5 linked regions of the Rattus norvegicus genome follow. The protein of the gene in region 1 interacts with the protein of each later gene in a pairwise test. Links are inferred from orthologs where the notes say so. Each region holds a gene or a part of one and is shown in the gene's direction. Other genes may lie near its edges. The genes, in order: Traf3ip1, Golga4, Smc3, Smc2 and Sptbn1.

The links.
Region 2: the proteins of Traf3ip1 (region 1) and Golga4 interact in a two-hybrid assay, tested with the Homo sapiens proteins (2 studies listed by BioGRID and IntAct). The link is inferred for Rattus norvegicus from reciprocal best matches to the Homo sapiens genes TRAF3IP1 and GOLGA4.
Region 3: the proteins of Traf3ip1 (region 1) and Smc3 interact in a two-hybrid assay, tested with the Homo sapiens proteins (2 studies listed by BioGRID and IntAct). The link is inferred for Rattus norvegicus from reciprocal best matches to the Homo sapiens genes TRAF3IP1 and SMC3.
Region 4: the proteins of Traf3ip1 (region 1) and Smc2 interact in a two-hybrid assay, tested with the Homo sapiens proteins (2 studies listed by BioGRID and IntAct). The link is inferred for Rattus norvegicus from reciprocal best matches to the Homo sapiens genes TRAF3IP1 and SMC2.
Region 5: the proteins of Traf3ip1 (region 1) and Sptbn1 interact in a two-hybrid assay, tested with the Homo sapiens proteins (2 studies listed by BioGRID and IntAct). The link is inferred for Rattus norvegicus from reciprocal best matches to the Homo sapiens genes TRAF3IP1 and SPTBN1.

Annotation. Positions count from the first base shown.
Region 1 is NC_086027.1:99,518,930-99,524,509, forward strand, and holds the start of Traf3ip1 (TRAF3-interacting protein 1), read left to right. Parts: upstream 1-2,246; 5' UTR 2,247-2,365; coding exon 2,366-2,488; intron 2,489-4,928; coding exon 4,929-4,997; intron 4,998-5,580.
Region 2 is NC_086026.1:127,140,656-127,145,680, forward strand, and holds part of Golga4 (golgin subfamily A member 4), read left to right. Parts: coding exon 1-1,116; intron 1,117-1,665; coding exon 1,666-1,787; intron 1,788-2,138; coding exon 2,139-2,269; intron 2,270-5,025. UniProt on the Homo sapiens protein: Involved in vesicular trafficking at the Golgi apparatus level. May play a role in delivery of transport vesicles containing GPI-linked proteins from the trans-Golgi network through its interaction with MACF1. Involved in endosome-to-Golgi trafficking.
Region 3 is NC_086019.1:262,646,981-262,651,126, forward strand, and holds the end of Smc3 (structural maintenance of chromosomes protein 3), read left to right. Parts: intron 1-67; coding exon 68-259; intron 260-406; coding exon 407-584; intron 585-1,806; coding exon 1,807-1,913; intron 1,914-2,411; coding exon 2,412-2,483; 3' UTR 2,484-2,852; downstream 2,853-4,146. UniProt on the Homo sapiens protein: Central component of cohesin, a complex required for chromosome cohesion during the cell cycle. The cohesin complex may form a large proteinaceous ring within which sister chromatids can be trapped.
Region 4 is NC_086023.1:71,621,980-71,627,004, forward strand, and holds part of Smc2 (structural maintenance of chromosomes protein 2), read left to right. Parts: intron 1-102; coding exon 103-241; intron 242-917; coding exon 918-1,037; intron 1,038-2,593; coding exon 2,594-2,798; intron 2,799-4,774; coding exon 4,775-4,910; intron 4,911-5,025. UniProt on the Homo sapiens protein: Central component of the condensin complex, a complex required for conversion of interphase chromatin into mitotic-like condense chromosomes.
Region 5 is NC_086032.1:108,043,593-108,047,471, reverse strand, and holds part of Sptbn1 (spectrin beta chain, non-erythrocytic 1), read left to right. Parts: intron 1-782; coding exon 783-956; intron 957-2,631; coding exon 2,632-2,674; intron 2,675-3,523; coding exon 3,524-3,742; 3' UTR 3,743-3,879. UniProt on the Homo sapiens protein: Fodrin, which seems to be involved in secretion, interacts with calmodulin in a calcium-dependent manner and is thus candidate for the calcium-dependent movement of the cytoskeleton at the membrane.

The DNA of each region.
Region 1 (5,580 bases):
GTCTCTGTCTCTCTCTGTCTCTCTCTGTCTGTCTCTCTCTGTCTCTGTCTGTCTGTCTGTCTGTCTGTCTCTCTCTCTCTCTTTTCCTCCAGCTTCCACTAGACTGATATGAAGCTCAGCAATGGAGGTGTAAACATCTGGGACTGTACGTTAATAATGGGGACTTTGCTCTGTACCCCTAACTTAAATGACAGGCGAGGCCTCTCACTTGTGGGAGGTACCTGCTTCTGCTGCATGTCTGCTCCACAGACACACTTTTGGTTGCCACAACCAGGGCTGCAGACTTAGAGAACAAAAGCTGCAGGGTATTCAGTTTTGAATTTCAAATAAAAGAATGAAAAAAAACTGCCATGAATTTCAAATAAAAGAATAAAAAAAACTGCCATAAATTTATGGTAAAATGTTTTACCTGGAATTCAGATGGAGTAGACATCCTGTAGGCTAGTAGACTAGTAGACAGATAGTAGACTATCTCTAGGCTACATTGATCTTCTCTGTATGACTCCTGCTCCCTTCCTGCTTAGCCAAATCCAGGCCCTTGCCCAAGCCTGACCCACATCCTGGGCTCTCAGCAGAAGTGAGGTTCAGCATCCTCAGTTCTTTGTCTCTGGAAATGTTTGCCTCCCAGCTGGGGGAGGTAGGGCCTGGAAGACACTTCGCTTTGTGGCTTCTGTTTCCTGGGGTGAGGCACAGCCATCCTTATTTCGTTCATTCACTCAGAAACTGCTCATATTGAAAGCCTCCCCTGCCAGGCTTTTGAGTCAGAAACCCCTTTTCCATTCTTCATCAGTTACCTTCTACCATGAATGAGTCTTTACAGTTTTCTGCTTCATTTCAGAGGGTGATTTAGGCCCCTACTCTGCTGACCCCCCCAAGACTGATGGCTCCATGCTGGCCTCTGTATCCTTCATTGGGGACGTCCCAGATCCAGATATCTTTCTTGAAGCAGGAATTGGTTACATCTTCTGGGACCTGCTTTCTTGGTGACCAGAATGTTGTCCACTCTTTCTTCAGTATGGAGGGGTGGGCTGGACCAGAGGCAGGGATGAGGCTCTGGAAGATGGAACTATACTCTTCAAAGTTGCTTCCCCTAGGTCAGTCCTCAGAGGGGTTGGCTGACAATACTTCCTGTCCTGGATCTCCTCAGAGACTTGGATACTCAGATAGGCTGGAGGCCTTCTGATGGCCCGCACTCCAAAAGAGCAGCCAAGACCTGTATTCTGGGCCTCCACCATAGTCCACTTACTGTCCTGCCTCCACAGGCTGTGAGAGGTTAAAGAATCACCTTCCCTTTGCTGTATGGTCTAAGCTCTAGGTCCTCAGTAGAGTTTCCAAGGTCAGAGGTATCTTAAGTGATACCTGTGTTCCTGCTCCCATCTGGTCCAGCATCACAGACAAGCCGGTTGCTGACCACAACTTTTACTTCACACCTACAGCAGGATTCGGCCAAGAGTGAACTTTCTAGGGTAGGTGCTAGGTGGGTCTGTTCTTCGGGGCAGTGTTTAGAGGCAGGGCCTCTGCTCTCTGAACTCTGTCCACTCAGAGACCAACTCCAGCTGGGGCTCAGAGTGAGAGGGCTCTTAAAGAAGTTTCTGGTTCCTCGGGTGTGGCCATGGTTGGCAGATCAGGAGCAATGTCCTAATTGGGGTTCCACCAATTTGGGCGGAGGAGCTCAAGATCTTAGACACAGCAGCAGCCCCCTATCTTGAAGCGCCACCTCCTACATTGCCTCGGGTGGTGACATGGGTGGAGGTGGGGTGTGTGTGTGTGGAGCAGAAAACTGCAGCGTCCTAGCCTAAGGGCCTAGTTACTTCACAGCTTTGTGCCCGCCCTGGTGAACTAAGGACACAGAAAATGTGAAATGACACAGTCCTTCCCCTTGGCATTATTTTCAAGATAACCCAAGGCAGGGGTTACTGTGCAGGAAACAGGAATGAAGGGATGAATGGAGTCAAGTCCATTTTTCAAGTTTAAGTGAAATGTTATTTTCCTAGTGGTTACTGTAAACGTTAGAAACAAATGATCGCTCTTTTCTCACACGGAATGGCCGGGTCTCTGTGCGGCGCCCTACGGTGCGCGGGGCGGGCAGAGCCAGGTTCAGGTTCAAACAGCCACAGAGGTGGAGCGCGCTTGTCCTCCTGCACAGCTAGAGAGGCCGGAGGGGATGGGCGGGGCCGGGCGCGCGTCCGTTGCCAAGGCCGCGCGGCCCTAGAGACCCGGTGCTGGTGGCACGCGCAGGCGCAGTGGCTAGCAGCGGTGCACTGTGGGATGGGAGACCGGCGCGCCGGGACGGCGGGCATCTCGAGGCACCGGGCAGAGGCGCGGTGCGCGAGGAGAGGCGCGAGCGGTCGCGGGCGGCAGCGCCATGAACGCGGCAGTGGTGCGGCGGACGCAGGAGGCTCTGGGCAAGGTTATCCGGAGGCCGCCGCTCACCGAGAAGCTGCTCAACAAGCCACCGTTCCGCTACCTGCACGACATCATCACTGAGGTAGGCGCCGACTAGTGCGGGTCAGGTCAGGATCCGGTTGAGATGGGGTGAGGGTAGGGGTAGGTGTGGGACGGGTTAAGGGTTCGAGTAGGGGCGGGACGTGTTGAGGATTGGAGTAGGGTATGGGACGGGGTGAGAGTCGGTGTCGAAGGTTAGGGTTAAGTGCGGGACCGAGTGAGTGTTGGGGTGAGGGTTCAGGTAGGGTAAGGATCGAGGTAGGATGCGCGTCTGAATAGGATTTGTATTGGGGTGAGACTCAGAATTAGGGTCGGGCCAAGATGAGGGACTAGGTAGCGTGAGGGTCGCGTTGAGGGACCGGGTAGTGTAAGGGACGTTGTAGGGTGACAATCAGGGTTCAGGTCAGAATGAGGATTAGTCTCAGATGAAGATGAGGATCAGGTCAGTGGGGAGATCTGTGTGACAGTCAGTCTCCGAGTGCTGACTGGATTGAGAGAGTGGTGAGGGGTGGAGGTGCAGGTCCAGCTGAGGATCAGGGTCAGGGTTAGGCTCCAGTTGGAGTCAGGGTAGAGTAACTGGTGCTGGTCAAGTGGTTTGGGTGGAGATATAAGGCCTGGTTCAGGGTCTAGGTTTGTGGGTCAGGGGCTGGAGCCAGAAGCTGAGGCTGGGTGGTGGTGGAGGCCAGGGATGACATCGGTATGTGAGGGAGAGCCCTGGGGCAGAGTCTAGGCCCAGGGTCAAGTTGCTGTTAAGGAGCTGGAGTGTATGTTGGAGTTCTGAAATTGTGTTGTGCTTATACTTGAGGCCTGGGTAGGGTGTAGGTCCTTGTCTGGGGCCTGGGCAAGAGCTCTCAAAGGTGCCTTCCATGTTAGGTTGCCAGGCCCACTAGGTCTTGGGACTTCAAGGAGCATGTCTTCCATTTGTTAGTGAGTCTCCAGGGAGCTACATAACACTGTACAGTAGTCACAATTGTGTGGAGTCTGTTAGGGTTCTTGGTAACCCTAGAGTGTCACTGCAGGGGGTGAGCACAATTGGCATGGTATTCCAGAGGGTGCTGTGGAACTCAGGGTGTGGTTGGGACTTAGAACTGTCAGTCTCCAGAGCTCAAGTTCTCTCCTGGTGTTGACCCTCACAGACTTTCTTGTCTCAGGAGGTTGAGCACTGTAGTCTACCCTTCTCTTTACTCATTTTGGCCTCCTACCTTACTTAGCTGGTAATGGGTACTTTCTCGGAACAGGGCCCCTTGCCTGTCAATCTTAGGTGTGTCCAGAAATGCTCTGGAATCCACCCACATCCCAAGGGGCTCTGCTGCCTGGTAGCCTCCTCTCCCAGACTGGGAGGCATTCGTAGCCTATCCTGGAAGGTCTGAGAAAGGGACTGACCCTTTCTGTGAGTTCTGTGAGAAAGTGAGTTTTCAGAAATGTTAGATAGGGATGCTCTGGTGGTCTGTGTGCCAGCCAGCTGTCTCTTCAAAATGACCTAGCACAAGCCCAGCCGAGCCCAGCAGTTCATCTTTCTGTAGTTTGCTGTGAGATGGACTCTTCTAGATTAATTAATAACTAGATGATGCAGCCAGAGTAGCTGTAGCCACATCCCTGAGGAGGTGACACTCACGCGGGGATGTCTTGCTGCTGGTGTTTTTTAAAGCCTGCCTCCTGTACCCATGGTAACATGTTTCTATGTATTGCAAGTCTGGTCATAAAGTCCTTACTAAGCACCACATTCACATTCTTGATGTCTTTTTTTTTTTTAATTTATTTCTGTTACCTGTCTTACTGATTTTTTAGTAACTTGCACTTTTGAGAATCCAGGACTCTGGCTGGATGTAGGGGCATTGGCGGATCAGAAAATTATTGCCCTTCTGTAGTGGTAACTAGGGCTACAGGAAGAGGCCCTGTGGAAAGAGAACAAATATGTTTGGATGGGAGAACACTCCTTTATGGTAGAAATGAGGGACTCTTCAGGAGCTTCTGGTTTCAGATACTCAGGCTAAGTAGCTCCTTTTCTTTCTGGAGTCCATTCCCGTGGCTTGGTCTGAGTGCAGTGGGGAAGGGTTGTGTGGTCAGGTCCTCTCAGGCCTAGTGTGACTGATTGCGGCGTCAGGTTCAGGGTCCTGCCACCCCATTTGGCTTTCATCCGTCTAATGAAACCTGTTGGACTGAACTTGGTGGTTGTTTTCTTTTTGTTTGGTGTGTTCTTCCCAGCTTTTCCTTGCAGTCTCTGACCTCAGTGGGATGCTCTTCCAGTATCCCTTGGCCCTCCTTCCCCTACTGTGAACTTCCTAACACCTGCTCAGTGATGGTAGTCTTGGCTGTCTCATAGCTGGCTGTTCTCCAGGCATCAAACCTTTGTTGAGGAAGGAGATGAAGATTAGAGCTGTAGGTGTGACTGGGTCCTGACCTCTCCTCAGTGGGGTTCAGTGGATGAGGTCAGTGAAGGGGCTACGGAGTGAGGTGAATGATGGTCCCTCTCTGTTTGGCAGGTGATTAGGATAACTGGCTTCATGAAGGGCCTCTACACAGATGCTGAGATGAAGTCAGATAACGTCAAGGTAGGTTCCCTTTCTCCACACTCTTGCTTTGCAGAATAGAGCCCATTTTATTCTGGGCTCTATTCATTTATTTATATGGCTGCACACTCCTGTGTGCCGTGTCTACGCTGATAGATGTGGAATGCAAGGCTGGTGGATTCCTGAGTTATATGTACCTTCTCTTGTTTCATTTTCCCATTTGTGACAATTGCATGCTATGCTAGATTTATCTACTGAAAAGCAGAATTAGGGGCTGTAGAGGTAGCTGGTAAAGTGCTTGCCATGCAGACGTGCAGACCTGGGTGGTATCCCCCAGCACCCATGTGAAAAGCTGGCTGACGTGTATACTGGTGATCCCAGAGCTGGAGAGGTACTCGTTGACCAGGTAGCCTAGGGAAATGGGTGAGCTTTAGGGCCCAGAGACGTTGTCTCAAAACACTGAATAGATGGTGTCCTGAGGTGAATCTCTGACCTTCACATGAACAGGCACATGTATGTGTGCGCGTGTGAGTGTGTGCAATAATCCCACCTTTACAGCCACATGTATATGCATGCATATCCATCTATACACATATACATACAGAACATAAAGAAATGTGAAAAA
Region 2 (5,025 bases), on another chromosome or scaffold:
GGAACTAGACGACGTGAATTCAAGTGTGAAAAGCAGAGACGGGGAGCTGAAAGCGTTAGAAGACAAACTTGAGTTAGAAAGTGCTGCAAAAGTGGAGCTGAAGAGGAAGGCGGAGCAGAAGCTCGCCGCCATCCGGAAGCAGCTCTTGTCTCAGATGGAGGCGAAGGTGCAGCAGTGTGCGAAGGACACAGAGAGCCAGCTGAGTGAGCTGCGTGCAAAGTTACAGGGCAGAGAAAAGCAAATCCACATCCTAGAAGGAAAACTTAAAAACCTAGCAAGTTCCCCACACCCAGAAAGAGCAGTTGTGTCAGGATCCATGGGAAACGTGGCAGCGTCTCCTGAGCAAGAGGCAGCAGATTCCCAAGAGTGCACACAGAAGGCATGCAAGGAGCGAGTCTGCGTGCTGCAGAGAAGTGTGATTGAGAAAGAGAGGCTGACACAGAGGCTGCAGCAGGGCGAACGGGAGGCGGCGCCATCGCAGTCTGAGGTTCGGCACAGGGAGCTCTCCGTGAAGTTAGATCGCGCCAGAGCCAAGCAGCTCGAGGATCAGGTTTTGATAGGATGTCTTCAAGAAGAACTGGAAGAAAGGATGAAGTGTCCCTCAATTCTGTCCCAGCCCATGGGAGAAGAAACCGGTAAAAACAACACAGGGCTGAAGCAGAATTGGGCAAGTATGGTTGACACTGTCCAGAAAACGCTCCAGGAAAAGGAGCTGAGCTGCCAGGCCCTGGAGCGAAGGGTGAGAGAGCTGGAGTCAGACTTAATAACAGAGAGGGACGCCCATAGGCTTGAAGTGGAAAAGTTGACCTTAAAATATGAAAAATCACAATCTCCACAGCAAGAGATGGGTGGGAAAAATACGTCTGTGGAAATTTTGGAAGACAGGCCTGAGGAAAATTCCAAATCCCATGTGATAGAATCGAAACTGGGGACCCCCATGGACGGCCGGCACAGTGACCTGGAGTCGAAGTTAGCAGGGTCAGAGCGGGAAAAGCAGAAGCTGAGCAAGGAGGTGGGGAGGCTGCAGAAAGATCTCCGAGCTCTGAGAAAGGAGCATCAGCAGGAGCTGGACATCCTGAGGAAGGAATGTGAGCAGGAAGCAGAGGAAAAGCTCAAGTAAGTGTTCCCAAAGTCCACGTGTGTGTGTGTGTGTGCGCGTGTGTGTGTGTGTGCGCGTGTGTGTGCGTGTGTGTGTGGGCGCATGGGCACATGCGATGTATAATGTAGACACTTCTACCTGCCCGAAGTATCACATAAGTCTGCTAAGTTAAGTAGTGAGGAGAAATGACAATTTTGGGCTGGAGACAGGGTTATTCCATGTCCGTTTAGGGAACACAGCTTTTGCTGCAGGTAAGATCACAGCTGCTGGCTGCGTGTCTTAAATAACAATCTCATTGCTGTTCTCTTAGGAGTAGCCTTGTGACTGTAGCACGTGTATCTGGGAGAAGTTTAAAGTAGGAAGGAGCGGGTCTCCAGAGCCCAGGTTAGTGCTGAAGGTAGTCATAGTTTTTCAGTCTTGCAGTGTGCGCACTGTTGTGTACACACACACACACACACACACAATGATTTCAACAGCAGTGAGGTCTCATTCTTCTGAAGCCTGTTTCCTGTTTGCAACTTGCTCTGTGGAGGCAGCAGTCATCGCTGTCCATTCTTGTTACTCAGACAGGAGCAAGAGGATCTTGAGTTGAAGCACAGCTCCACACTGAAGCAGCTGATGCGGGAGTTTAACACCCAGCTGGCACAGAAGGAGCAGGAGCTGGAGAGAACTGTCCAGGAGACCATCGGTAAGCAGCTTTAAGCTCAGCGGGAACGACCCTCAGTTGGAACTTATTGTCTTTTCCATTGTAGTGGGCACTGTACGCCATTAAACTCAAGGGAAAATGGCCCTTGTCCAAACAGTGCTCCTGTTCTCCGGAAAGTCCTCCAACCTGCCTCACCTGTTACTCCCTTGCCTTTGGTGAGAAGCAGCATCTCCCACACCTGTTCTGCTGCATTTCATCAACTTTAATTGAAATGAGAAATTCCTCCTGTCCTTGTCGTATAGTCACACACGTGTTCTCATGTGTGTCTGTCCTTTATTAGATAAGGCCGTATAGTCACACACGTGTTCTCACGTGTCTCTTGTCCTTTATTAGATAAGGCCCAAGAGGTGGAAGCTGAACTTCTGCAAAGCCACCAAGAAGAGACACAGCAGCTGCATAGAAAGATTGCGGAGAAAGAGGATGATCTGCAAAGGACGGCCAGAAGATACGAGGAGATACTTGATGTACTGTGTTCTCATTCTCTTTGAAACATAGCAGTGTTTTACGGTGGTGCTGAGTAGTCTGGCTTCTCTCGTGCACAGACGTCTGAGAGAGAGACTGAAGTGAGGCTTTGTGCTTGGGTTAGGTCTGAGAACTAGAGCAGCCTGTGTCTGAGGCAGCTCAGCCTAGCCAAGGTCTCCCCAGAACAGTAACCAACCTCCTTCCTTCCTTCTCCACTCACTTCAGAGCTTGACTGTGTGGAGAGGGGGATTTATCAGCTGAGCGTTTAGTGTTCAGTAGATGCTATTCAGAGTGGCTTGGCAGTAGCAGAATAGAGTAAACCATAAACGAGAGGGAGAGCTTGGACCACAAGCATGTTTTCAGATACAATGCTGTCACTTACTCTTTGGTGGTGTGTTACTCTGTAAGACCTCCAGGCCTTACTACGCCGTACGCCAGGAGACACTTGTTGGTCCCAAAGAGCCATACCTACTTTGGCTGTGTCAGCAGTGCGTGTGTGAGTGAGGGATGGACAGCAACGGTCATTGCTTTAAATGCAATCGAACTGAGTGAAGTCTCAGGATCTGGAGTGCCATCTTTGTGCAGCATGTAAGCTTTAAATCTCATTAGGAAAATTAAAGTAATTGCAAATTTGTGCTGAATTTTAAAAAATACAGTCAGGGGGCTGAAGGGATGGCTTGGTGGTTAAGAGCTCTGACTACTCTCGTAGAGGATCCAGGTTCTGTTCCCAGCACCTGAATGGTGGTTCACAGCTAACTAACTCCATTTCCAGAGGAGTGGTGTTTTTCTGTGCTCTGTGGGCACCGCACATGCATGGTACACATAAATTCCTGGCACATAGATAATAAATGCATTGTTAAGAAACCCATTGATGTGTTGGTGCCAAAGATTCTGGCACTTCAGGAGCTGGGTTAGGAGGATCAGGAGTTCAAGGCCAGCCTGAGCTCAATAAGACTTTGTGACTCCTTATGGAGTGTTTTATGGCCCAGTGTATCTAGTGCACCTGATGTAGAGTGTAGTTCTGTCTTCTCACATCTGTTACTGTGCTTTTGTTTTGTTTCTATACAGAAGGAAAGGCAACCTTAGTATAGTTAAACGATTTGCCTAACACTGTCTATTGAGTTCCAGAATAGAGATTCATCATTACCTTCACACATTTCATAAATGTCCCAAGAAAGGAACTTTAAGAAGGTAACAGCTAGTGTGTGTGTGAGAAAATTCAAGCCTGAAAGCTTCAGGGAGGGAAGTAGCTCTTTTTTTTTTTTTTTTTTTTCCTGATTCCTCCTCTGTATATGGACATGTGGGTGCTAAGGGAATAGACTGTTCGCCTCTGTGGTCTTGGGTGAGGAACAGGAAGATAGGTAGCTGCAGTACTCTGGAAGCTGTGGAGGGAAGTGGAGAGCAGCCCTGCAAGCTGCATTTGTGGGGCAGCAGTGTACGGGGACTGACTGACTGACTGACTGATGGATTGAGGTGTGTTCTTGCCCAAGGTCCTTCCTCAGTCTGATGGCTAGCATGGCCTTTGCACACTTAATAAGTGAGCATCTTCTCAGAGCTGCATTTTAGAAAGGGGGCTTCATTTTAGTAGTATGTATCAGTTGGTTTACCCAATCAGATGGAGTGCTTGCCCTGTGAGTCAGCATGGGGGTACAGGCCAGCTCTGAGGACTCCGAGCAAAGCTGCTCTGTCCTCCTTTTCCCGCTGACAAGTTGCAGCCATGCTGACCATAGGCTACTGCACTTTCCTCGTCCTTTATGATAGTCCGTGATGTATTAATAGAACGTTTCAGCCCCCTCCCGATCTTAGATGTTTCTTTTTGTTGTTGGTTTGGTTTGGTTTGGTTTGGTTTGGTTTGGTTTGGTTTGGTTTGGTTTGGTTTGGCTTGGTTCGGTTTTTTGAGACATGATCCCATGTAGCTTGTGCTGGCCTTGGTCTTACCGTGTTGCTGAAAATGGCTTTGATCACCAGCTTCTACCTCCTGTGCAAGGGCTGTTGGCCACCCTTTCAGGTAACATTCATACCTCCCACATATGAAGAATGGAAACTTGCTTTTGCTTCACATGTCGTTAGGCATGTGCGTTATACACAAGTGCATTTGTGTAGTTAGGGTGACAGATGTGTGTGTGTCCCTGGCATGGTGTCAGCATGTGCTGTACTCTCAAGACCTTGTCACAGAGTCATGACTCGTGTTCTGCCTCTCTGGACTGCACTGTTGCTGCCAGCGAACGCTGTCCTCTCATCCAGTCTGCTGTGGTCACCTGATCTCCTAGCTGCTGAGCTCCCTTCCTGTCAGTGTGTGTCCTGTGCTGTCCTCTGACAGTGCAGGTGCCCAGGGAGGCTGTGCTCTCCATGAGGTCTGTACTAGCCTCAGCTGGAGCCAGCTCTTCGCTCGCATCACCGTTGCCCATGCTCCGAGTCTGCATGTGATACCTCTACTCTGCGGCTTGTGTGGCTGTGCTGGTCGGAATGAGATTGGGTCTCGTAGGCTCCCATATTTGAACAGCAGTCTAGTCGGTGGGTGTTTGAGTAGGATTAGCAGGAAGTATGGTTTTGTTGGAGAAGGTGTCACTGGGAGTACCTTTGAGGTTTCAAAAGTTCATGCCAGATCAGGTGACTAGATCTCTGCCTGCTGCCTTCGGATCAGGATGTGGCTCTCAGCTACTGCTCCAGGGTCACGCATGTTGCCATGCTTCCACCATGATGAAGGCAGACTAAACCTCTGAAACTGTAAACAAGCCCCAAGTAGACGTCTGTAGGA
Region 3 (4,146 bases), on another chromosome or scaffold:
AAGACCTCTGCTTGCTTTTAAATACTTGTTTCAAATAGAAATATGTAACATTTGCATTTCCCTTAAGGTATCTAAGAACTTTAGTGAAGTTTTCCAGAAGTTGGTACCTGGGGGAAAAGCGACCTTGGTGATGAAGAAAGGAGACGTGGAGGGCAGCCAGTCTCAGGACGAAGGAGAGGGGAGCGGCGAGAGCGAGAGGGGCTCTGGGTCACAAAGCAGCGTTCCATCAGTTGACCAGTTCACAGGAGTCGGGATCAGGGTAAAATCTCTACACTCAGTTTTTCTTGTAGCATCGTCATAGTAGAGTTCATGTTTCATTTTACCTGAACTGCTCATGTGCCCCTTAGTTTTGGTGGATGATGGTGTCATCTCTTTTGAGGTGATAACACTCTTTGTATTCTCTTAGGTATCATTTACAGGAAAGCAAGGCGAGATGAGAGAAATGCAGCAGCTTTCAGGAGGGCAGAAGTCTCTGGTAGCCCTTGCTCTCATTTTTGCCATTCAGAAGTGTGACCCTGCTCCTTTCTACCTGTTTGATGAGATCGACCAAGCTTTGGATGCTCAGCACAGAAAAGCTGTGTCAGGTACAGTTCTAATTTCTACTCAGTGAGGACTTAACTGTGGGCTGGGGAGATGGGGACTAAAGTGCCTACCATGTGAACAGGTAGCACATGGAGACACGATCCTGGGAACCCAAAGGCCAGCCAGTCGAACCCAAACCAGGGGCTTCAGGTTCAGTGAGATGGGAGGCCACCAAGACAGCTCAGTTGATAAAAGTTCTTTGCCACTAAGCCTGGGAACCTTACTCCAGTCCCTTAGTCCCACGGAGTGGAAGAAAACTAATTCCCATAAGTTATCTGACCTACACACGCGTACACACAGAGCCATGGGCTTGACTGCATAACCTGGGCAAGGTCGCCCTTGTCTGTGTTCTTAGCATTCAGAAGGTGATCAGTTGATGGCCAGTCTGGGATGCACTGAGCCCTGTCTCCTTGAGATGTCTTGATGATGATGTCGCTTAGCCCTTAGTCATTCGTTAATGCGAGTACAGTATATATTCAATATCCTTTCTCAGAATAGTTTTAATAGTTTGGTATTAGACTGTTTTCAGAGTTTACTTTTGACAGATAGTAATTAAATTTTCCATTAAATTTTCATACAAGAGCCTTAAAACTTGACTGTCTTTTCAGTGTTAGTAGTGCTGTGGGGTTGGAGGTGACTTAGCAGTTAAGATCGTTGCCTGCTCTTGCAGGAGAACATAGGTTTGGCTTCAAGCAACCATACGGTGTGGTCATGGCTGTCCATAATTCCAACCCCTTCTCTGACTGACTGAGGGAGGGTACGGGCACACATGTATATCTGCAGGCAAAACATTTGTACAGAAACACCCAATCTTTTATTTAAGATACTAAGTCTGATCTTACAGGTTGAAAGCTTTTGGAGGGAGTGACGTTAGGAAGATAGCTAGCATTAATTTTGTGTGTACAAGAAATATGTGGCTCTACCATGTCAGTGCTAAAAGTCTCCTATTTCAGGGTTGTGTTGTTGTGGTGTGAGGCGGTGTCGTGTAGCGTGGCCTAGAACAACCTCTGATCCTCCTGCTCCCCCAGTACCACCACTAGGCTAGAGGTCTGCTTATAGTGATAAGAATGTGGCACGCAGTCTGTGCTTTGAAAGTCTACTGGATAGTTTGTAGACAATAAAAATCATGGGCGGCTTTGACAGATTTGAATTGTAGACAGAAAATAATTAGTTGTTAAATTCTCAGGTGTGATAAGAGGTTTATTAGTTACTTTGTTTTCACAGATATGATTATGGAACTAGCTGTACACGCCCAGTTTATCACTACCACTTTTAGGCCTGAACTGCTTGAGTCTGCTGATAAATTCTACGGTGTAAAGTTCAGAAATAAGGTAATTTTACTTGGTTTTAGGTTGATGTTTATTTTGATTTTGTTATATTAGAGAAAGAAAACTTAGAAAGTTGTTATTTAAATGATGTCTGCCTCAAAAATGGAAAACTTAACTTTCACCCATTTGTTACCTTGATTTTCATTAAGAGGAAACGCTGTGGGTGGTGACTGCTGGTCTAGCGATCATAAGGCCTTGGGTTTGGTCCTCAGCAGCCCCCAAACAAGTCACCGTAGCTCAGGCTGCCCAGGTGGGCAACCCTGCCCCTGCCCCTGCCTCTGCCTCTGCCGTGCTGGGATCAGGCGTTTTCCCCTTCCACACTCAACAGACAGGGCTGTGAAGCCTAACAGTCGGCGCTTCAGAGCCACTGGACGCGGTGTGTAAGATTCAAGGTTGTACAGGCCGTAGGCTGTGTATGTTAGATGCCACCCTGTGCGGTGCAGGCTCTCACGTGTGTGTTTCTTTGAGACGTAACAGCCTTTCGCACTGACTGTTCTTCAGGTTAGTCACATCGACGTGATCACAGCAGAGATGGCCAAAGACTTTGTAGAAGACGATACCACGCATGGTTAACTGAAAGATAACGCCTGCCGTCTTGGAAGATGTGTATAGTAATGTGGTCCGTACCTGGGAACTGTAAATTTTAAAAATAATAATTGGTTATTACTGAGTTTTTGGATTTAGAATACACAGTCCTTTTATACTTGTCTTTGTATTTTATAAGCTCCCCTGTAATGTTACATTTCTACGTATAGTCGAGGAATTTTATTTCCTACACGACTTTTTGTAAGTGTCCTCCTATTTTAAATCTTTTGAGATTCTAAATATTCCCAATTATTTTATAGCTTCTATTAAATAATTGGTTTGTGACTAACTTAGTGTAAATGTGGCCTTTTGTCTTTGTAATTGTTAGAAACATTCAATAAATATTTTGCATAAGAACACGTTGCTTTCGATTAATAGAGGACTAAAAGTACAGTTCCATATTCTGTTCATTACATCACTGGGTTTTCAAATCTGTTTTGAATTTTCCAAGTGTCACAGTGCTAAGTGTTTTGGGCTAGTCCAGTCAATCCTGAGGGAATGCTGTCCCAGCCACCTTGTTTAGAAGTTCCTTGGGTGGTGCAGTCTTGAGGACTGCTAGCCCTGCTGTTATGCAGCATGATAAGGCCTTTAGGCATTTTTGTCTGTGTGTACATCCATGCACCAGAATAGGGTACTGAGTCTCAGGGGGGTTATAGACATTTGTGAGCCAACACAGGACCACTCAGAGCTACCAGTGCTGCTACCCCTGAGCCGTCTCTGCAGTCCCCCTCAGCACTAAAGTTAATGTGACTCCACTTTCACCAGAGTCATGGGTTTGGGAAAGCAGTTTTAAGTGGGATTCAGATGCTGATGCCACAAATAAGTGAGCCATGCAGTTTCCTTGCTGCTGAGTCAGGGCAGTTTCTGGAGAGAGACATTTTTATACTGGCTGGGGAGGCAGCTCCGAGAGCCCGTGCCTTGCACGGCTGAGCCCTGTTCAGTTCTAGGACCACAAAAAAGTAAACTTGTATTGCTGAGGCCACGTTCACCGTGAGGTCTTTGGGGGCCTTTGTCTTTAACTGGCTTTGCCATTCACACACCATAAAATTCACCATGTGTGCCCGTGTGCAGTCCATGATGTTAGTGCACCGAGGATTGCACAGTCATTTTCATAGTTTTAGAACTGTAGGTATGAATGGACTCACTCCTCTCAGCCTCTGGTGACCACAATGGCTTCACAGTGTGGTCAGTTCGTGTGGATCATACGGACACCGTGGCTCTCACAGCACAGTGTTGGCGAGGTTTGCCCCTCAGGTAATGGGTCAGTCCTGTATTGTTTCCCATTGCAGACTGTCCTGCTGGGGATATGCACCGAGCGAGGCTTGCTTATCCGTGGTCCTACCTTTCGCTTCTGTAGATAATGCTGCCGGGGTGTGTGTGTGTGTGTGTGTCTCCTGACTGCCTAGAAGTGCTGGCCGTGTGTGTGTGTGTGTGTGTGTGTGTGTGTGTGTGTGTGTGTGTGTGTGAACTTGTTTCTCCTGACTGTCTAGGAGTGCTGGTGTTTGTCACAGACTAACTAATTTCAACATTGAGGGCCGTCAGGCTTTGCCTAAGAGAGTCCATCTTCACAGACACTTGCTGTACACCCCCTTTTCTTTATGTGAGTGTGAAAGTCTCAGTAAAGGTTTTAATCTGCATTTTTCTGAGGACC
Region 4 (5,025 bases), on another chromosome or scaffold:
GCTGACATTTTCTAACTATTCTAATTCATTTGTTTGGAGCTCTTAACTAGGATAGTACAATATTTATCTAACATTAATTTTTGGTAACTTCTCTGTTTTTAGGGACCCAGAGAAGAACTGGAATCGAAATTGTGTAAAAGGACTTGTAGCTTCTCTGATAAATGTGAAAGATAATTCTACAGCCACAGCTCTGGAATTGGTGGCTGGAGAACGACTCTACAATGTTGTAGTAGACACAGAGGTAAATGGATTTTAATTAAAGAAAATTTAAGATTAATACTCTGACTTAAAAAAAGAATCACGTAATGCTGGAAAAGTTGTGTGCTTTTGTAGCTCTCCAAGCTACTTAATCTTTTTAGTTAATTTTCTGACAAATTTAATTCTTATTTATTTTCTATTTTGCTGTGCATATTTATATTTGCATTTGTAAAATAATCTGTCAGTTTTTATTACAGTAACATTTCTGTGTGTGTTATTTGCTTGCACACACAGTGTATATGTGTGTGTACACACAGAAGCCAGGAGAAGGCATCCTCCGTAAACATTGTATTTCCAGATGCAGTTCCCTTTCTGATTGCAGACTTGCACCCCTTTACCTGCTTCTGTGCGCTTGCTCCTCCTCACCACACCTCGCCTCCTGTTCTAGCTACATCAGCTTTTCCTTTTAAGATGCTGTATGCAGATGGCATTGTACAGTAATTTTTCTGACATACATCACTGAGCAAAACACTGATCAAATTCATTTACATGCCCACAAAAACATCTTTAGTAAGGTTGAATTATAATTATTTTATATACTTTGAAAATCTACCTTGGGAAAAACACACCACGGATATATTTATTTGATAATGTATTCCTAAACTTGTATACATTCCATTATAGTGTTTTTTTCTTACAATTTAATATGTCTGTTTTAGGTTACTGGTAAGAAACTATTAGAAAAGGGGGAATTGAAGCGTCGATACACAATAATTCCTCTCAATAAGATTTCAGCCAGATGTATTGCTCCTGAAACTCTGAGGGTCGCTCAGAATCTTGTAAGTCTTATTGTCTTAATTAAATGTTTATCTCTTCTTTTAGCTTTAGGAAATAGTAATTTTAAGGGATATACTCAGGTAGAATTCTGGTCAACTGATAAGATGGCCCCTATTGTAATGTATCTGCTAATAAGAAAATAGATGTGTATAAGGAAATACATTTTTATTTTACCATACGTTTTTATTATTTTTTAAAAGAATTAGTTTTATTATTATTTGTTTTATTTAAGGATGTGTATGAATATATGCTCATGTCCTTGGATGGCCTGGAGCAGGGGTTATAAGCTGCCTGACTGGGTACTGAGAACAGAACTGTCCTAGAGGAACAGCTAGTATTCTGAACAGCCTTCTCTCTAGTGCCCCATTTTGGGTGTTGAACACTGACTAAAAACATGAAGCTGGGCTGGAAAGATGCCTCAGCTGTTGAGAGAACTGGCTGTTCTTCCTGAGGATCCAGGTTCCATTCCCAGTACCTACGTGGCACCTCATTAACTCGAATTTCAGGGGGGTTTACCACACTCATACAGGTATACATGCAGGAAAACACCAACTCACTTAAAGTCATTTTAAAGAAGAAGCCAAATATGTCTTCAACAAAACGAGCTTATTAGAGAGTAGCTTTATAAGGGTTTGAGTTTGAGTTATGTGAAACCCAGAAATGGCATTGGTAGTTAAGACACTAAGCAGATAGTCAGTGTCTTTAGTATTATTGAGAACATTTCAATCAAATAATTTCAAAATGCCCTTGTAGTTGAAAGTGCTTTTTAGTTTCGTGGTGAGTTGGAATTTCAAACACCTTCAAGAACGCTTTGTCTTAGAGTTTGTAGCGAGGTCTGTTAATGGTGTCTGCTGGATCAAAAGAAGTTCTGAACATGGTGCTATTATTGTTGTTTTGCTCTTGTCATAACGATGCTAAGTTTCTGAGAACATGGGAAAGTGCATGAAGAGACTGTGATTGCAGTGGAAGACTAGGGCTTTGCCTGTTCTTTTATCCTTTCGGTTAGTCATTGCATTTATTTTTGGTTTTTGAAAGTGGCTATAGTTCATTTGAATAAAAAAGCATTCACTGAAACAAATTACTAATAATTGAAACCAAATATTCTGTAACTATGCTGATAGAGAGATTACTTTCATTAATAGTTGTATTTATATAGGCCATTTAGATGTGCAAACTTGGTATTGCCTTCTTGAAAGAAACTTACAGTGCTTAGGAGTTTGTGTTTTGTGGGGGATTTTGCTGTTGTTTTTCTTCCAATACAAAGTTTTTCTGTGTAGCCCTGGCTATCTTGGAACTTGTTCTGTAGACCAGGCTGGCCTCAAACTCAAAGATCCACCTGCCTTTGCCTTCCAAGGGCTGGAATTAAAGGGGTGAGCTACCCCCACCCTAGCGCTTAGTATTTAAACTGTTTCAGTTGGTGATAGGTCTTCCAGTGTTAAAATTTACTGTAAATAAACAAATTATCACTAGGACTGTGTAATTTATATATTATTGCAGTTTTTACTAGTTTATATTTCAAAGAAATGTGTCCTGTGATACATATTTTGTTTCCCTGTAGGTTGGTCCTAACAATGTTCATGTAGCTCTTTCCTTGGTTGACTACAAACCAGAACTTCAGAAAGCGATGGAATTTGTCTTCGGAACAACATTTGTTTGTAACAATATGGATAATGCCAAAAAAGTGGCCTTTGATAAAAGAATAATGACCAGAACTGTAACCCTTGGGGGTGATGTATTTGATCCTCATGGAACATTGAGTGGAGGTATGTTGTGTTAACAATTCTGTGGTAAATAGTTTGTGCCTCTGAGGCTGTTTCTCTATCTCCCAGTTGCTTTTTAAAGGACAGAATAGTGTCAAAGCCCTTAAATGGCTTATGATCCATTATCATGAATCAACTCAGTAGCTCATTCCTCTAAAGTCATTCCTGTTTGTTCTTGGTCCAAGAAGGCTGGCCACACTCACTCCAACAAGGCCAGAGCTCCTAATAGTGCCACTCCCTGGGCCAAGCAGATACAAACCATCACAGATAGTGGTGGACATAGGGGCTTGCTTCTGCATACTTTCTGCTCAGTTGCAGTCACAAAGGTTTTTTTACTTTGTAAAATCTTAGCCTTATTACCCATTTTCCCAAGAAATTGAATAACTCACTTTGCAGTGTGCTGTTATCCATGTTGAATCTTGAAAATGGTGCCTTAATGAATTGAAAGTAATGATTATTCTCTAATACTCTGGCCTAATAATATAATAACAATGAATAATTATTCTGTACCAGAAAATATTGAAAACAGTGTTACCCCAAGTACAGTATCCACTAGCCACATGTGACTTCACAATTGATAAAATGAAAGTAATTGTTTTTACTTGCACTAGCTGCTTTTCAGGGTCCTAAAACAAATAGTGAACTCGTAATTGGATAATACATGTATAGTGAATTTTATAAAGCCCCAGTCTGTGAGCCTTATGAATATATAAATATGAGTCTGTATATTGTGAATTTATGAATACATAAATAATCCTTAACTTTAAGATAGGAATATAATATCAGTATATTAATCAGAATATCTCTGATACGTAGTGGCAGAAATTAAAAACCACTAGTTAAGTAACTTAGTAATTTGCACAAGTTTGGAGTTAGAATCCCAGAAGTCTGGTTGTAGCTTGTATTCTTCACCTAATTTAATATCTCTTCAAATGTTCATTTGAAAGCCTTGCTGTCGTTTATGTATATGATGATGCATGTGTGTTTATGTGTGTGGTTGTCCTCAGAAGGCAGAATCTGGCATCAGATCTCCAGGAGCATGTAGGTAGTTGTGAGCTCTCCAGTGTGGGTGCTAAGAACTAAACTCTGCTTCTGTGCATGAGCAGGAAATACTCTTAATCCCTGAGCCATTTCTCCAGCCCAAGACTTAGCGTCTGTGTAGGCCAGTTGTATTAATTAAGTGATCAAGTATCCCACTTCTAAAACATCATCAATGAGTACTGTCTGCATAGGAGATAATAATGTAAAGCAGAAGACAGTCTTGAGAGTTTGTTTCAGATGTGCTTGGAGTTTCTGTTTAAGCAGTGCCATGTGTATGATACTGTATTTATTAGCTCTAATGGCATCCTTCCATCCAACTACAGAGCTTCCTTGTTAGCATAGTATTTCAAACTGTCACTGCTAGATGGGTATCTTTGCCTGTACAGTATGTAAAGGCAGTTTATTCTGATGATTTTCCTGCATCTCGAGAGTCTCAGGCCAAGTTATAAGGTGGTAACATAATAGCTCTGTTGGCTTGAGCTCGTTTATCTCATACATATTACATTTACACAGGTCATTTGACTCTGCTGCCTGGTCTCGTACCGTAACTCCTTCTGAAGAATTCCTCTGCTCAGCATGTTTTCCTTAGGGCAAATGGTAAATTATATACTAACGCTCAAGGGTTAGGTTTTATTTTCATTGGACAGAACAAATCACATGGCCAAGTTCAGTGTCTGGAGTGAAAACTTTGCCTTAGCAAGATAGATCCCATAGACAGAACAGTTATTTTGATCAGTAAACTACCACCATGTCTACCAAGGATTGCTTTTTATCAGTTACGTGTTTATTAAGACTTGGGTATTGGAGTAGACTCCTTCTCATCATAAGTTCACTGCAGGGTTTGCTGTTTCATCATTTCTAGTATAATTCTTTGAGAAAAGAATGTTTACTAAGGATATGGTAACTTCGTATCCAAATCCTCTGTTAACTCAATCCAGGTGCTAGGTCCCAGGCGGCTTCTATTTTAACCAAGTTTCAAGAACTCAAAGATGTTCAAGCTGAGCTGAGGACAAAGGAGAAAGAACTGCAGGCTCTGGAAGAGGAATTGGCTGGTCTTAAAAATGTCGCTGAAAAGTAAGTCTGTATTGGATTAAGCTATACATGTTCTGCATGATGGAAATTTATTGGAATTTGACTATCTGATTATTTTTAATGTTAGAATATATTTTGAGTTTAATTTTTTTACCTA
Region 5 (3,879 bases), on another chromosome or scaffold:
GGCTTATCCTGAGGAGGAACTCACTATAGCGAAGTTGAACAATCTCCTACAGTGAAGTGACTTCTTTATAGGGTTCCTTATGGGATCCAGCTTTCACAGATGCTCACTTCTCTGTGTGAGTCTCGAGATGACTGTCTCCCACCAGTCTTTTAAGTTTATTATTTAGCTGATGAGAAAGTAGGTGCTCTGAGAGGTTGTAAACTGAGATGAAAATCACATCTGATTCCAGAGCCTGTGTGCTTAAATTACTATACACGTGGAGCATCCACCGTACATGTTGGAGGTGTCCACTGTACAAAGGGCTTGGTTACAGTCTGATGTTCTCGTTAAGTTAACGTATTCTAACGGTATGCCCCTTGCATACTGTTGGCGCACACCTGAGTCTAGCTCCCCCGAAGGGATTCCACAAACACTAATGACCCTGGATCTACCCTCTTGTCAGTACTGCACCACAAAAAAACAGTCACTAAGGCTGGGGGAGATTGTGCTTGAGAATAAGGAGCCTTGCCTGTGTTCCTGAACAGGAGTGAAAAGCTTCAAGGGCGACATGTTGCGGAAGGGACGGCAGCTCACGTGTCCTCCAACACAGCGCTGCGTCCCTCCCCAGGTGCTCCTTAGCCGTATGCACTGTTCCAAGGGGGTTGGGGCAGGGGCTGTTCCTCAGCATATGTTCATTTTATGTTGGAGAGGCTTCGTTTTCTTGTGAAGTTCTTCTGGGAAGGGTAAGCACAGAGCCTTGATACTCCTCTCTTTACTCCTCTCTCTCTGCTGTACCCACTCAGGTCCTGGCACAATGTTTATTGTGTCATAAATAACCAAGAAATGGGCTTCTACAAAGATGCCAAGAGTGCTGCTTCTGGCGTCCCCTACCACAGTGAGGTCCCTGTGAGTTTGAAAGAGGCCATCTGCGAAGTGGCCCTTGATTACAAGAAGAAGAAGCATGTGTTCAAGCTAAGGTGAGAGTTTGCAGGCTCGTGGCTGTCTGGGTGTGTTCATCTCACTGAGGTTGGCTCTCTCACAAAGGTACTGTGGTAGCCGTGTCTCCTCCTACTATTCTCAGTCCCTGAGAAAGCCTACTGGACTTGCTGGATTGATTCTGTGGGACCAAGGCCACTCTTGCCTGGGCCTGGTTGTGCATCTGGACCCAGCGGAAAAGGAGCCTTCGTTTCATGACCTGGAACACACTGTTCCCTGACATTGCTGTGGGCTGTTAACATTGCGGTACATAATGGGAGCTTTAAAAAGCCCATTTTGAGTCCTTCTGGCTTATGAGGACTAAGGAATTACCATGTTCGCTACAGATAGGTACTGCGAGTCATCCTAGAGCCTGAGGAAACCAACAGGAAGCACTTGAGTGGGACAGGCCATCCTCCCCAAGTCTTGCCACACTTCTGCATCCAAATGACTCCTCCTTGTGGAAGACACCCCCTCACACCACATCCACATCCATGACCATGGTGTTTGGAGATGGCCAAACCATTTTGTTTCTTAAAAGTGGATAAAGAAAAGGCAGGGTGGGTGAGAGGATGCTCAGTGGTAACGGTGCTGCTGCCAAGCCTGATTGCATAGCCTCCCTCCTCAAAACCCTCATGGTAGACAGGGGAGGAGAGGAGAGGAGAGGAGAAAGGAAAAGGAGGGGAAGGGGAAGGAGGACAGGAAACGTCCTCTTGTGTGTTATTTTTGACCTTCACGAGTGTGCATGCACATATTTTCAAAATACCTTTGTAAGTGCAGAAGTAAAGCCTCTTGACAGCCTGTCACTTCATGTGCTGCTGATTGGCTCTGTTGCTTTGGATCTGACGAGCTTCATCTTGGTTGGCCAGAGGATCACCCTGGGGGGACATGGTTGATGACCACATGCTGTCTTGAGGAATGGCCTCCCAGGTGTGGCTGCTTTCGTTCCCATGAGAAAAATCTAAAGGACTTTTTTTTCCATATCAGTTGGGCAACTCTAGAATTTGCAGATGTGAGAGACATAAACTCTGAAACTAGAATTTGAAGAGTATTCACCTTTTTTGAAGTCTTCTCCTGAATTTATTTTTGGTCAGCAATTAAGAATCCAAATGGCCATAACCAAACCAGACCTTCCAGAGGTTGGACTTTTTTGATCCTTCTGTTGGATTAAAGCACCAGATTGCCTGTGCATATTGGATTTATCTGGTAAATTAATGGCTTCTTATGATTAGGGACCATTGTCCGGCTAATGCCCCTCTCTAGGCCTGGTCAATAGCCCATGTAGAGCTCTATTGGTATCTCTGAGGTAAAGCCCACCACCTGCGTGTAACCCACCCTAGATTAAGGGGATTGTGGGGTTCTGTTTGTTTTGTTTTTTTTGTTTGTTTGTTTGTTTGGTTTAGGTTGGTTTTTTTGTTTTTGTTTTTTTGGTTTTTTTTTTTTGGTTCTGTTTTGTATTTTGAGACAAAGTTCCTCTGTGCCCTGGCCATTTTGGAAATCGAGCTATAGACCAGGCTTGCCTGGAACTCACCTACCTCGGCCTCCCAATTACTGGAACTAAATAAAGGTGTGCATCACCACACCTGGCCTGTATTTTTTTTAATTTATATTTTTTAACTTTCTAATATGAAATTGTCACCTACATAATTGTAAAATGTAATTTTCTTGAAATTACAGACTAAGTGATGGCAACGAGTACCTCTTCCAAGCCAAAGATGATGTAAGTTACTACTTGGTTTTGTTTTTTCACGTACCAAAGTTCATGGAAGTATTTGTGAGCTAAAAGAAGCAAATATCATCTTGTCCCTCCATAAGGAAGGGAAGCTAGAACAACATCCACTAGATTCAGTAGAAACGAGGAGCAAGGTCCTTGCCTGCTACTCCTTAGAACAAGGTACAGGGAGGTGGCCCAGGACTGAGTGTATCCTGATGCCAGTCTAAAGCCTGTGCACTGCACTGCATTATCATTAGCGTCTCCACCTCAGAAGACAGGGTCACCTCAGTGTCACAGCGTGTGTAGCAATTTAAATGTTAAAAGGCCCCTTCCACCACGAGAGATAACTCTGGAGGGGGCGTGAGGACTTGTAAGATGGCTTGGTTGGTGAAGGGCCTGCCACCAAAGCTGATGACCTGAGTTTGATCCCCAGGACATACTTTATATAAAGAGAGAATGAACTCTGAAAAACTGTCTTCTGATGAGTATAAACTCGTGTCTACACACACACACACACACACTGAAAAGGTTTTTTTTTTTTTTATTTAAGGAGTAAGAGCACTTTCTTAATGCGAGTGACGTCTCACAGCCTAAGATTAGCCTTCCAGCTTCTGTAGGTGTATATATCCCAGACTGACGGCCTGCACACAGCACTGGGGCCAGTCCATCTAGAGGCAGAGCCATAGCCACTCTGGTAGTGAGAAAGCAGATAGGCATTTAAGGACAGTGACTCTAGTTAGCGGCACTGCTGCCAAGCATTCCAGCTGCCAGGCATGGAGCATCATGGAGGTAAGACCAGGACTCCTCATGCCCACACCTCTTGACCAAGTCTTACCTGTGTCTTCCTCTGCGTAGGATGAAATGAACACATGGATCCAGGCTATCACCTCTGCCATCTCCTCTGACAAGCACGACACGTCTGCCAGCACCCAGAGTACGCCAGCATCCAGCCGAGCGCAGACCTTACCCACCAGCGTCGTCACCATCACCAGCGAGTCCAGTCCTGGCAAGAGGGAGAAGGACAAAGAGAAAGACAAAGAGAAGCGGTTCAGCCTTTTCGGCAAGAAGAAGTGAACTTCCCTGTTGTCCTTCCCTTCTCTTACCTTTAGTAAGAGTCCAGCATGCAAGCTCAGACCAACACATTACTCTGTGCCTAATGTTCCTCCATGTAGTTGATTTTCTTTCTTTTTTTTTTTTTAATAAATTTTTTA